3 linked regions of the Caenorhabditis elegans genome follow. The protein of the gene in region 3 interacts with the protein of the main gene of each other region in a pairwise test. Each region holds a gene or a part of one and is shown on either strand. Other genes may lie near its edges.

Region 1 (3,741 bases), on a different chromosome or scaffold from region 3:
AGTAATAGGAAATGGAGGTGATGAAGGACATAAGAGATTTTAGAAAATTGAGAGTTGAGCTAATTTAACTTTTGAACGCAAATATTGATATTGAAGAATCACTAAAACAATATTTCAACTGGGTACCAATAAACTCGATAAACTGGCCGAGAAGAGAAAAAGACAAGGCCATTCAGACTCGGCCATCGTTTCCAAACAGCTGTTCGGGACACTCTATACATAAGAGACGGCAGAGAAAGAAACAGTTTCTGTGTGTCTTGTCGGGCATCATTGAAAGAGAGACAAGAAGGATGCTCGCAAGTATTGAATCTGTTTTCATGGGAAAAATTAATGAAAAAACTCAGATAAACTATTTTGATCTATCTTTTGAAATTCTTTTGAAAATAAATATATGTTGAGTTCAACTGGTAGATCAAAATGCTTTTTTTGTAAAATAGGTTCACAATCGTTCAATTAAATAGTAACAAAACATTTTCGTTGGGGAAATAGGGTGTTTTTTTTTTTAATATTTTAGTATTCTATTTCAAAGCTTGGAAGTGTTTTGATTATATTTCTACTATCTGAAAATGTTTGCAATTCAGTTAACTTTTTCTGTTATAGTAAGCCTATTTCTTGAGATTATCTGAACTAGGATAACATGCTTCTCTGAAAACATCCTTCGATTGAAAAAAGTTATGAGAATAAAATAATTTATTTTCTTCAACAACACAAATCACAAATAATAATGTGAAATTAGTTTCTGTATCCTTGGTTTCCAGAGACAGCGGCGTTGGTGTTTCTCTGTGGGCATGGACAATATTGAGCATCTTGTCCTGGCTCTCCTTCCTCTCCTGGACTTCCAGCGGCTCCATTTGGTCCATCATCTCCCTTCTCTCCCTGTGGTCCACGCTCTCCTGGTGGTCCAGCAATTCCAGTTGCTCCACGATCTCCTTGCTCTCCTTGATCTCCAGACTCTCCTGGTGCTCCTGGAGTTCCCTTGGCTCCTGGAAGTCCGATTTGGTGTTCAACATCGGCTCCTGGCTCTCCAGTTGGTCCTTCTTCTCCAGCGGCTCCTGGTGGTCCAATTGGTCCCAAAGATCCGGGCATTCCTGGGGATCCGTCTCTTCCTGGCATAGCGGCTTGTCCACGGGCTCCACGCATTCCACGGGCTCCTGGCTTTCCTTGGGATCCTGGTGGTCCTTGTGGTCCAGCTGGGCAAGTGAAGCATCCATCGTATTGTTGAGTCTGAGCCTTGGCATCATCAGCATCTTCTCCGTCAACTCCTGGAACTCCTGGAATTCCATCTGGTCCATCATGTCCTGGAGTTCCCTTTGGTCCGGCTGGTCCAGCTGGGCATGAGTTTTCGGTGTTGCAATTGCACTTGTCTCCTGGTCCAGCTGTAAATGTTCAATTTATATAAGATCTTTGGACTATTTTTTCTATACTTACCAGATGGGGATCCATCTGGGTTGATTGGGCTTCCTCCTGGATGTCCAGTAACTGATGGTGGAACTCCAATAACTCCTGGAAGAGTTGGGGTGTTCGATGATCCAGTATTTCCTGGGAAGTGTCCTTGTGGGCCTCCTGGGAATCCACCGTGTGGTCCAGATGGTCCGGATGGTCCAGATGGTCCGCTACCGTATCCACCATATCCACCGTATCCTCCGGCTTGACGACGGACACGTCCGAACTTCTGCATATCCATGTAGATTTGATCGGACTCGAGACGCCATGCCTCCATTTCAGTCGTCAACTCGTCCCGGAGCATCGAGACTTGCTGATAGACTTGTGGGACAAGAGAGACGCAGAGAAGCATCGAAACGGCACCGAGGGTGCACGCGGCATATCCCGCGAACACTGACATGATCTGGAAAACATGTTTATTCTAGAATTTGCGCGTAATCTGAATTGCCAAGAAATACGGTATCCGGGATAAAAATTGCAAAAATTCGTATCAGCGAATAAATATCGTCAAAATAAACAAAGATGGAAAATGTTTTGATAAAAGTGTCCATTTCTCCTCTCTCAGGGACCCTTTTATACTCATAAACTCCCTCGCACAAGGACAAAGGACTACTGTATGCGAGACTCCGCCCCCTCATATGACCGATATGATAATCATCTCGAATATTATGCATAATTGTCCGTTATCTCCGATATGATGACCTAGATTTGAGAAGGGGATTTTTCGGGTCGAAGGACCTGTTTTTAATATTCATACAATAGAAGGAGGAAGAAGAATATAAGAAATTTTATAAATTAAAAATAAATAAAAGTCAACTATTGAAATTGAAAGAAATCGGGAAAGAATTGAAGAAAATATTGAAAAAGGAAGTTTTTTGATTCAAAAATATTTAGTTTTCCCAATTCTTAAATTTATGACGGAGGGGGAGCCGGTGGTGGTGGTACACTGAATGTTGCATGATAATCCGTTCCAGTTACAGCTGAAGCTTCACCTTCTGCAGGAGCAGTACCGTAGTATTGATTGTAGTATTGACTGCCATCTTCTTGGTAATATGTCGATGCATCTTGGCTGAAAATAGGTAATTATTTTTGAATAAAAATACAATTCAAACAATTAAAAAAGTGATTTTCCTTACCCTTCATGTCCATAATATGAATCTCCATTTTGCCCATATCCTTGTTGATCGTATCCTTCACCGTAGTGTTGCTGATTATATTCTCCATATCCTTCTTGACTGAAACGTTTATTAAATTTAATTAATTTCATTTTAAAATATTTAATTTTATTACCTTCCATAATAATCCTCTTGTCCTTGATAATGTCCATCGTAACCACGTTCTCCATATGTTTGTGAATCATAATCTTGTCCATATCCACTTGTTCCTTGATACGATCGATCGCTGAAATCGAGATTTTGAAAAATTGAAATTTTTTTGGGGTTTCGAAACGCGAATAGTCACAAATACTTTTTTATGTTTAATTGAAGGCTTCGAGAAGTTTTTGACAAACTGCCTCAAAGTCGTGAAGTGTCGATCGGCATTATTTGAGTCAGTTTTAGAGCAAATTTTCGAAAATTTCAATTGAAAGTAAAGTTACTTTCCGAGATAGCTGAGAAAAAGGGGCTTTCGTATACTTTCTCAATGTGTTTTATATCTCTGCTCATTGCTGAACTCACTAATCATCATATCGATCACGTCGCCCAGATTTTTGCGGAGGACCACCATAATCTCTTCCACCATCACGGCCACCGCCTCGGCCACCACCACCACCTCCTCGCTGGAATTCATCTCCTGAAAAATAAAGCGTTATTTAAAAATATTTAAAAAAAAACATAAGGATTTCGAATTTTCGTGGAATAAAGGTTGAATAAACTTACTTCTTCGTTTTCTTTCTCTTTCCTTAACACCTCCTCTCGCTCCTCTTCTTTGCTTATCACCCATTCGATCCCCTCCAGGTGGCCGATCGATTCCAGGCATTCCAGATCCTGGTGGTCTATCAACTCCGCGCCTTCCACCTCCTGGTGGCCGATCTACTCCAGGAATTCCTCCACCTCCAGGTGGTCGATCAACACCACGAGAATCACCTCCAGGTGGGCGATCGATTCCACGAGATCCTCTGCCTGGCGCCCGATCAACCCCAGGAACACCACCACCCGGTTCTCGATCCCTACTTCGTTCAATTCTGTCTCCACCTGGTGGTCTATCAACTCCTGTAACTGGCGACTTGCTCCGAACCTTTTCACCACGATCCCTATTACCACCAGGTGGTCTATCGACTCCAGGAATTCCTTTCGAATG
Region 2 (3,137 bases), 1.2 Mb from region 3:
AAAAATATCATATTCAATTAAGGGGTGTGAAAAGTGGAAGAAATAAGGAGAAAAAGAAGCGACCCAAGATTGTGGTTTGTGTGAAACGAGCTATTCAATGTGCAATGATTATGGTAATGTGAGGTGATTCGGCGGGAGTCCGATAGAAGAGAAATTGAAGGTGGAATCCGTGAGGTCAACTTTGTCATTGAGCACACACGCTCACAAAGTGCAGGAGGTATCAGAATACAATTGAGAAGAGTGAGAGGGAAGAGTTGAACGGGGATATTTAGAACGGGGAAGCAAAAAACGGGAGAAAAATGTGATTGGCAATGGTTTCTTTCATTGTTGAGTTGAGTGACGGAAATGTTTTTGGCTTTGCTTTAATTGTTGACGAATATAATGCAGATACTGGGGAATACTGAAAAAAATCGTTTAAATATTTGAACTATGCTTACACAAGTGTTTTCGTCATCAAAGAAATATGTTAAATATACGGAAAGTCTCTTGTTACATTAAATATTCCTAGACTAATATTGCATAATGTATGCTCCCACCATTTGCATGGTCTCAGAATACAAAGTGTACTTAGATGTCGGAAGGCCCTCTTGTGCATAAATCGCCTGTCAACGCCGACACTGTGTACCAATGCAGTAATACTACTTGTAACAACAACTCACCTTGTTAGAGAAAAAGATAAATGACTCATTTGAGTACAAGATGAACGTTCTCAACGTAGCTGATCAGTTGCCGTAACTTGCGCTCGTTCTCCGCCAGCAGCTGTTCAAAGAGGTCATCATTCATCTCGGCAATTTTTTGCTGTGTTATCGCCTCGTCATTGTTTCCGATTTGTTCGTTGACGTCATTCTCATCTGGCTGATTGTCGTTTTCGCTTGTCTGTTCGATCTCCTCGATGACACCTCCTGAGAAACCGTTTTGCATCATGATGAACTGATCCTCTGCATTTTCGGAATGATGGTTCTGCTGAACGTCTTCATCTTGATCATCATCAAACTGAAACTGTTGCTGATGATTCCACCGGTAGTAGTTGTCTCTCCAGACTTGTTGATCGTCGCGATTACTGTATGCAATGTTGATCGGAGCTGACTGCATTCGCGAAGAAGAGCTCAGAACCGGCTGTGGTTGACGAGCCATTGTGAATTGATAAATATGAATGAAGGGGGACCCAAGCTGGAAAAGAAATACAGTTAAAGAGGCGAAAAAAGGAAATTGAATCGAGAATTGGATCCTTGCAAAAAAGAAAGTGGTACGAAAATCTGATAGCAAGAAGACGGTGAGTGGGGTGAGTGGGGCGTGAGCGCAGACACATTTGAAACTGCACGAGACAAAAGGTCACATGTTTCAGTTTGTCTCAAAGATCGATTGGGGCTAAAAATAAGCTGATAAGCATATGAAAGATGGTCTGATGTTTAGAGCTATTCAGTATCAAAATATCAAATGGCAACTGCAAAAAAGGATATATCACGGATGAGAGGGGGGAAAGGGAAATGAGGAAAAAAAAGGAAATCATTTGTAAACTACTGATAATGATGGCTGAGTCTTCTTGTCTCACCATCTGGCAACATGTGTTGCTATACCTTGACCCCCTCCCCACAATTGCATTATCAATTGGAAGGCAGAATAAAAGAGAAAAAGCGAGCAGAATGTGCACACACACTCACACACATACACAGATTCATACACTCAGTTACATACTCGTATACACACCCTGATCGGCGGCGGCGGCCCGCACCATCACCAAACCACTGTGGCATGGGGTGGGGGAACTACTTGTGGAGGGGAGAAGAGGGCAGGACCCCGTCCAAACGAGACGAGCCAATTGTCAAGGACAAAGGCGGACGTTGTGATCGGACGGCGGGTGAGGATGGAGGGTGTTTCTCTGCGTCTCGTTCGGAAAAAATGGAACTGTTCGATTGCGGAGCGGCCGAAGTGATGAACACGAAAAATTGAATAATGGGGCAGGGGGCGGAGCTGTGGGTGGTACTGGCAGACGTATAGTTTATCAGCAGCAGTTAACGGCTGTTTTATCAGGTGCACAAAAACGTTTAGCACAGTTTTTGAAAAAGTAATCAGGCAGATGCTGATGTGGTCTCATAGAACTTCTGTGGAATCCGGTACAAGATAACAAAAGTTCAGACACATAGCACTATCAAGAGTTGAAGTAAATTTTTGATTTTAAAGTACTTGTACATATGTTCATTTTTAAGGCTTCAACTTACAGCATAGTAACTTTTTGAAATTTTAATTAAATATTTTTTAATTCGAAATTTCCTATAAGATAACAGTACAGTTGCATTTTTGAAAGCTTTTCTCAATTTTTGGCCCGCAACTGGAATAAATATTCAGATTCGGAAACTTTTTGGCTTCCTAATATGCCCCGCATGCTGCTGATGCCCCTTTCCCACCCAAATTTTAAGAAAGCATGGTTTTCATAGCGTTTCACACTGCTTCTCACAATTTTATCGCGCAGATCGTATCGCTGTTGAACGGTTTAGCCGTCTCTCAACGGGCCACCTATATTCTGACTTTTTCGTCCAAATTGCTTTTTGCTTTTTAACGATAGAATTTTCAAGAGATCCAGTGAGATAAAAGTGTGAAAAAATCTACAAGTCCCGGCTGATCTTTCATCGGGTGGTCCGCGGGAAGTAAAAAAGTGCAAAGCGGTAAACAAAGAAGATCAGAAAAGTGTGTAATTTTGACAAAAAAAATTGCGAAGAACAGCTGAGGCAGACAAAAGTACCAAGAAAGTACCAAAGTTTATCAAAAAAAAGCTTATGGGGGTTCACGGTAACTTTCGAGCGTCTCAGGGTAAGATTGTGCAGCGTTCGCAAAAAGTAAATTTTCTCTCTCTCTCTGTTCTCCTCGAAAAAAAATCGAAAACCAGTAACGAGTTCTTTCAAGTGGCAAGATGACAAATAACTCGCCCATATGCCCTAAACTTGCACTTTTAAATTAGTTTATAGAGTTTGTGCTTAGCTGAGCACTGTGAGCTTGTATGTTTTGCTGAATATAAATATAACTTTTTGTTGAAATATGATAAAATGGTTGTATAAAAGAAGAGAGAAAGAACAACAACAAAAAATTTATGTGTCAAAAAAAACTGAACGGGCGCTGCGGAATATGGGGAAGAGGGGAAG
Region 3 (7,565 bases):
ACACAACTCTTTCAAAACTTCAAGCCAGGCGTGATCTCATCATGATGCGGCAAACCGTTTCAGTGGCGGTCTACCTCTCAATTTATGAACTAGGAGCATTATTAATCAGAGTTTTTCCGGTAACACGTTTAATTTAAAACATGAGTTTAAAAAAATATTATCATTTTTGCAGACATTCTACGCAGGCCTTCCGGATTTGGTGCATAAAAGTTATTTTTACATCCGCTACGAGTCAATTCCACCCATGACTTTTTTCGTTTACTATTTGGAAACCGGAAGCACGCGTCGAATGCTTAAACGATTTTTGAAATTCGATGGATCAAACTTTGCGTCAGCAGCGAATCAAACAGTTGTACCAGTTGGTGCAAAACAACAGACGAGGGCCGTCATAAACCCACATTCTTAAGCAAGTATAAAAACTCATAATTTTTATAGAAATTATCATGTCTTTAACTGAATTGAGATGCTTGTTTTGTACTGTTTTAAAAAATTGCAATGACTAAATAAAATTGAACGTCGTAATTTTTGAGCTAACAAAATGTTTATTGAATCAATGTAACTGAAACAAACAAAATGTCATAGATGTTGGAAGTAAATAAATAATTAATTAATTAATTAATTAGGCAACAATTGAATTGTAAAAAATGAATGAAAAAGTGTGAAATTGGTTGACCTATTTGAGATTTTTGATAGAGGATTTTGTACAACGGTTCTGTCCACAATTATTAATAGGATCTACATCAACTTTGATGGAATTACAATATCCAACACAGCCATAACTCCGTTAAGACCGTAACCAATGTTATCCTCATTTGTGCTATCCTCAACAGTCCAGAAGTAGTTGCGGATTTGTGACTTCCATCGGAGAACATTCTGTAATAGTAATTTGAAATTTACCGTAAAATAGGGAACTCTACTAACAGTGAAGAAAGTGTTTTGAAGGCTGTAATTGTCGGTTTCGGAGTGGCAAGATGCATGAATACGGTCTACCAGGAGATGGCCACGTGACGTCATTGGCGAGTAGATTCCAGTTTTTTGCACAATATTGATGTCAAGAACTTTTACGCGTTGATACATTTGGGACTTCTGAAAATTTTGCTGTTCAGTTACAAAATGTTTTCATATATCGAAAATCTGATATTACCTTGCGGTGTGCAATGTAGAAACAGTCTCCAATGTTTACTCTCTCAGCTGGTACTGGGTTTGCATTTATATTCTCATCCTCAGAATAGGGCACAGAACATTGAGTTACAAAGACCAAATGCTTCTCGGTCAATGAGAATGTCTCTCCGTTGTCAAGTGTGAATCTGTAATTTGTATTGTTAAAACGGAATGCTCAAACCAAAGGTATTACTCTACAAAATCTGCAACTTGTTTTGGATCACGATGAAGCCAGTATTGAACCGGGATAAATGTTACTTGAGAGCCATTCTTGTCGAGAGCCTGAACCCAGTCTCCCACTGCGAGCTCATCCATACGTTTGAATCCTCCATTATAAACATTGACCATAGCGTCTCCAGGGAAGCAATAATACAATTCTGAAATGTGGGTTGGGAATTATTATTAAGGTGTAAAAACTTACGTAATCCAGAAGGTGCGAATCCCATTGGAGCATATCCAGCTGGTGCAGCAGGCTGGAAAAATAAATGAAGTTCGGAAAATTATTATATTAATTATGAAAAAAATAGTTTGCTGATTATATTGGTTAATGGAATGAGAGAGCGAAGGGTGATAATAATACAATTCATGAACTTATTTTATTGTAACACAATTTTTTAAATATTAAAGGTGGATTAGCGCCAGTGGGGAAATTGTTAAAAACCACTCCTTTGGTCCTAAAATGACCAAATATCATGATAAAACATTTCAAAACATTTTTGAAAATTTTTAATTTAATGTCAAAAAGTGGCAATTACTCAGTTTTTCCACTCATAATTTTGGAAGTCGACCGGAAAAAAAAATTTTTTTCGACTTTTTCATGTTCTAATTTTGTTTGAATTCATTGTATTGAAACATTGTAGGGGTCGAAGCATGCAACATTTCTTTAAATTTGCTCTAAAGCTCGTATTTTTCAAAATGTTGACAATTTGCCAACACTTTGACCGGAAATTATGAAAAATTTTTTGGAGTGTTTTATTATGACATTTGGTTGTTTTGGATCATTATAAGTGGATTTAGACAAAATCCCCACTGGCGCTACTTCACCTTTAAGAGTGGAATTGTATGATTACACTTATAATGATCCAAAACGACCAAAAAATAATTTTCAGATTTTTCATAATTTCCTGTCAAGGACTTGACAAATGCCAGAATTTTGGAAAATATGAGCTTTTCAGGAAATACAAAGCAATGTCGCAAGTCCGACCCCTACAATGTTTTAATACAAATAATTAAAACAAAATTAGAGTATAGAAAAATGTAGGGGAAAAAATTATTTTTTGGTCGACTTCCAAAATTCCGAGTGGGAAAAGCTGAGTAATTGTTACCTTTTGGCAATAGATAAAACATTTTTTAAAAAATTTTAAAAGGTTTATTATGATATTCGGTCATTTTGATAGTTTTTACATTTTCCCCACTGGCGCTACTCCACCTTTAATATTAAGAAGTATAAATGAAATTAATAAATTATTAAGTTATTTAATTAATTAGATTATTAAATTAACAGAACTGAAAAATAAAAATGGAAAGCTAGTTATCCAAAAAAAAACAGTATGCTTTTCTTACCACTGGATTTTGGACCACTTGAGGTTGGAATGCCTGTGGCTGGAATCCCTGCGGCTGAAATCCTTGTGGCTGGAATCCCCCCTGTGGCTGGAAACCTTGTGGTTGAACAAATCCTCCTTGCTGTCCTGGTGGTGGTGGTGGTTGAGGGTTTGTTTCTTGAACAAATCCTTCTTGAGCGACAATTTCCTCAATAATCACTTCTTGTCCATTCTGAACACCTTGTGGGACCACAAGCTGTCCAGTCTCAACTGGGGTCTCCACATCTACAGTTGGAGCTTGGTGAACGACAAATCGATGCCCGTTGACGTGGCGAATCGTGTTCTCAGAGTTTAAGATTTCAGCTGAAATTTAGAGTGTTTTTTAAAACAAGTCAATTTTTTCGTTTTGACTACAATTCTGTTGTTTTGTTTCACCCCAATATTACTTACGGACTGATCGATCAACTTTCTGAAGATCCAAGCATGAGAATCTTTTAATATTAACTTCGTAAAAGATTTCTCCTTCGGAATCAATCTTCTTCTCTACATTGCTAATATAGTCGAATGCATAAGGCTTATTATCTGCGAATATCTCTCCTCCAACAACAATTTGTCCGCCAGACACAGTTGCCACGCCTCGATCTATCGATGCACGCAATGGAGCGTAGGTGCAGCACTTGTAGGCAACACTGAAGCGAAATAGGTTGCAAAATTTTCAGAACTTAAAGGTGGAGTAGCGCCAGTGGGGATTTTGTCTAAAGGCACTTATAATGATCCAAAACAACCTAATATCATAATAAAAAACTCCAAAAATTTTTAGATTTTTCATAATTTCTGGTCAAAGTTTTGGAAAATTGCCAAAATTTTGAAAAATACGAGCTTTTGAGAAAATTTGAAGAAATACGGTATTTTTTGACCCCTACAATGTTTTAATACAAATAATTTGAACAAAATTAAAACATAAAACATGTCGAAAAAAATTTGTTTTTTAGTCTACTTCCAAAATTATGAGTAATTGCCACTTGTTGACAGTTAAATCAAAGGATTAAAGGACGATCCGTTCTTCAAGTGCTATGCACTGCGGACCTGGGATTCAGGTACACTGCCTGGTGGTGATCTTTCTGGGCTGTAATTTAAGCCACGTCCTAGCCGGGGACTGTGGCCGATAATCCAGTCGTGGATTGCTCCACTTCCCAATAGAGGCTGGGTGAACCTAGGGGTGAGGCCGGACTTGAACTCGTGACCTCCAGACTGCTAGCGGCCACCACTACCGACTGAGCTATCTGCCCAATTTTTTGAAAAGTTTTATCATGATATTTGGTCATTTTGGGACCAAAGGAGTGGTTTTTAACAATTTCCCCACTGGCGCTACTCCACCTTTAAGTCTGGTCTAGTGCTTACATTTTGGTGGTAGATGCATTCATGACTGGTGCAATTCCTCCAACCCATTGGTCCTCTGGGTTGCATGATAATGATTGGAATTCTTGTTCACAGCTCTGAAATATTTCATTAATAAAATAACTTTTTCATCTTTTTACTGATCTCCTTTTTTCTTTGATTCTACATATGGGTCATAAAAACCTGCTATGATGTTTCATTCATTTTCTCATCATTTTTCAATTAGCTTTTCCCTTTCATTCTCTATCACTCACTGCTTGCTGCTGCGCGTAAACTCTCGGGTCGGCCGCATCAAATGTATGAATAGCCAAAGGATCATCACGTAGGAAGCCGTCCGATTGTTGATCGATTCGGAAGAATTTGGCGTTGGTTGGAAGTTGGTGGCCATTTGAATGCCATCCAAAACAAGTTGGTCTTGCGCATCCGAGAATCGGTTGACCAGATGAAAGCACCTAGAATAAGTAGGGTAATTTGTCATGTTAAGTATGCTTTGGCGGAATGTTTATAACTATTATGTGTAAACGATTGCAGAAAGTTGAATGTTTTATAAGTTTTAAAAATGTCAAAATCGGTATGGTGTGTATTATACCCCGCCATTTTAAAAATTAATGTTTTAACCTATAAAAAAAACGTGTGAAAATTCAGGCTTAGGAAAACGCCATTCCTCAGCCTAACAAGTTAAATGGGTATCACGTTAAATTTAAGTACTACTATGGTGATAAACTTTCTATAATGAATATCTTATAATAATAAGGGATAATTTAATTCATTTTACTACAAGTGATTAATAATTATGAATCACAATTAACACTTCATACACACGTTTCATTATATAACTCTAAGCTTTGTAAATTGAGTCGCGTTTGTGACATTAGGCGTAGTACACTATTTAATGAAAAATATGCAAAAATGTTTCATATTGGTTCAAATTACTTGTACTTGTACTGTACTGTACTTGAACTGTACTGTCAACTACTTATAAAATTACTTGGGTACTTGTGAAGTATACCTGGACTAAAAATATACGCCATTTTTTAAAGTGAACATCCGTAACCCTTTTTGTCCATATTAGGCTCAGGATTAATGTTTTTTGAAGCTTGAAAGTGCAAGTTAGTTTTATATTATTTATCATTTTTTGAAATAAATAAATGGTATACTACAATAGTACCAAAATTTCAAAAAAAAAAACGGCTAACTTTAGCTAAAAATAGTATTAGAGAAATAAACCTAGAACCCGTACTCTGTTTTTCTATGTAGTTTAGGCCAAAATAACATTTAGCGGGTGTTTTTGTAAAAGCTTTGATTATTTTTATTACATTTCTTTTTCTCTTACCTCTAAACTATATGGAATTGTTGAATCTCCGCACTCCGATCCATATGTGAATTTATAGCTAGAAGACAACAAAACTAGTGCAAGTAAAGAAAACCTCATTGTATCTGAACAAATTCAAGACTATAATATTAGAATAGATAATTGTAGAAGTGGCAAGAAAATGATCTTTCAAAAAATATTAAAGAAGTGGAGAAAAAAAAAGAAAAAACTTATGAATTAGAATGAAATTAAGTGGTGAAGCATCCAGTTTAAATATCCAAGCGATTTCTTATCAAAATGGGCGGGACTACCTGGCCATCGTTTATCAAAACGCCTACCTTCTTGGATCATCCTAGCATCTACTTTGCTTCTTATTTTCTCTGTCCGGCAAGGTTTTGGAAAAAAAAGTACCATATCCTACAAAAAACTGGCCAGCGATTATGTTTTTTTTTCGAACCGCCTACGTCTGATTTATACGATATAAGGATCTACTTTGCTTTTCATTTTATTTTTCCGCCAAACTTTTGAAAGAGCTTATCTAATATCCTACAAAAAGCTGGTCAGCGACTATGTTTTTTTGCAAACTGCCTATATCTGATTTATACGATATAATTATTCACACACTCGTTATAGAAGAACAAAATTAAGAACCGCGGTGACTGATATAACCTGATGTGGATTCATTTGTTATATTATGGACATAAAATATTTTGGAACATATGAGACGTCGGAAACATGAAGACAATAAAGAAACAAAATTTAAAGCGAGTTTTAAAAAAGATTCGCAGAAATTCAAAATAATTGAGAGAAAAAGAACATATGGCTGGATGACACGTGACAAAAAAGTAGAAAAAATTGGTGAAACAAGAGGACTTCACAATATCATTTTAGAGTTTTGCCATAGCGATTCCAAATATTTCGCCGAGTGCCTCGAATACTGATAATGATAAACAACAAAGTCGTCAAATGAGTGCTTGTCGAATCCTTCGTTATGGATGAGACCAAGTCCGACGCAATTCGACAAAACGCCTGTAAGAAAACTAGCTAAAAAAAATAAACAAGAAAACTAGCGATAAAAAATTTCAAATATCATTTGGAGAAACTTGTTCAGAATAGATTGCTTTAAAAAATTTTTAACAGCGAGCCAATTTTTGCAGAATTTTGGCAACTTTGAATGTTCTTGAAAAATTCTATTTCTTTGAAAAAGTCAATTTTTTTCAAGTTTATCTTTCCAAAATATTTTAAAGTCTTCCAGTGTGTCTTTTCAGATTTAAACCTATTAAACTATCAAAAAAATCCACTTTGAAACAAATTTTACGGACTGTTTACAGGCCAAAATTAACAAGCTTCGAAGTGCTTCACTGTATCTAAATTTTAAGCCGTAATCTATTTAAAATATTTTTCAATAAGTTTTATTCAACAGTTTGGCTATTTTTTTGACATTTTGATGCTTGCTGATTTAACCACAAACCACAATGACCACAACAGTATTACAAAATATAATTGTTTGCAAGTTGAATCTGATATTTTGCAACATCCTGGCTTTCCTGTTAATATAAACAAGGTTTTCTTATCAATGGAAACTCGCTTTGAATTTTAGTTCCGTATGCAAAGCTTGAGAAAGATTCTGGGAATACATGATGAAATTATAAATTTCGAAAAAACTAGCTTCTGGGTTTCTTTTTTCTTCCTTGTTTATTTTTAAAAGCGTTAAATTTTGCTAAGTGGCACTGTCTGTGAGATATTCCAAATTATGAAATCGTTCGAAGACCTACTTTTGTCTAATTTTTTTAAAATTTTTGCTGGCTGATTATTAAATCTGGTAAGTACAACTTTAACAGAACAATCATTAATCTCAACATTATGTGGCTTAATTTTACCTTGATGTTTTAACTGTGAAGACCGTGTTTGCCACTTTTAGAATATTTTTATGTTTCTAACACCAAAAAGTTATTTTCATACTAAAATTTTAGGTCACAGCATAACATCTGTGCGGCAATCCGTTCGGCAACGAAACAAAACTGTTTTGTTCAGTATAGTAAAATATTTGATTGTTTTGAGAATAAAACGTATTTTTATTTAAAAATTCAAAAAAGATCTCAAATTGTGACCGAAAGTTGCCGGTCGCCATTCTTTTGGCACATTAATTTTTT

Evidence for each region. The genes of interacting proteins can lie anywhere in the genome.
Region 1: the proteins of wrt-4 (region 3) and dpy-17 interact in a two-hybrid assay, tested with the Caenorhabditis elegans proteins (one large-scale study listed by BioGRID).
Region 2: the proteins of wrt-4 (region 3) and M163.1 interact in a two-hybrid assay, tested with the Caenorhabditis elegans proteins (one large-scale study listed by BioGRID).

What each region holds. Positions count from the first base shown.
Region 1 is NC_003281.10:5,105,435-5,109,175, reverse strand, and holds dpy-17 (Cuticle collagen dpy-17), read right to left. Parts: upstream 1,847-3,741; 5' UTR 1,844-1,846; coding exon 1,429-1,843; intron 1,377-1,428; coding exon 733-1,376; 3' UTR 685-732; downstream 1-684. Other genes in the region: F54D8.6 (C2H2-type domain-containing protein), read right to left, coding at 2,356-2,512, 2,580-2,678, 2,734-2,844, 3,120-3,234, 3,321-3,741. UniProt on the Caenorhabditis elegans protein: Secreted collagen that forms part of the nematode cuticle, which functions as an exoskeleton and a barrier to protect the worm from its environment.
Region 2 is NC_003284.9:14,502,691-14,505,827, forward strand, and holds M163.1 (uncharacterized protein), read right to left. Parts: upstream 1,135-3,137; coding exon 685-1,134; downstream 1-684.
Region 3 is NC_003284.9:15,751,733-15,759,297, forward strand, and holds wrt-4 (Warthog protein 4 N-product), read right to left. Parts: upstream 5,538-7,565; 5' UTR 5,533-5,537; coding exon 5,434-5,532; intron 4,553-5,433; coding exon 4,355-4,552; intron 4,199-4,354; coding exon 4,104-4,198; intron 3,392-4,103; coding exon 3,153-3,391; intron 3,066-3,152; coding exon 2,725-3,065; intron 1,635-2,724; coding exon 1,583-1,634; intron 1,539-1,582; coding exon 1,355-1,538; intron 1,308-1,354; coding exon 1,145-1,307; intron 1,087-1,144; coding exon 922-1,086; intron 874-921; coding exon 736-873; 3' UTR 525-735; downstream 1-524. Other genes in the region: srxa-9 (Serpentine Receptor, class XA), read left to right, coding at 1-119, 173-406; bus-17 (Hexosyltransferase), read right to left, coding at 6,287-6,441. UniProt on the Caenorhabditis elegans protein: Intercellular signal essential for a variety of patterning events during development.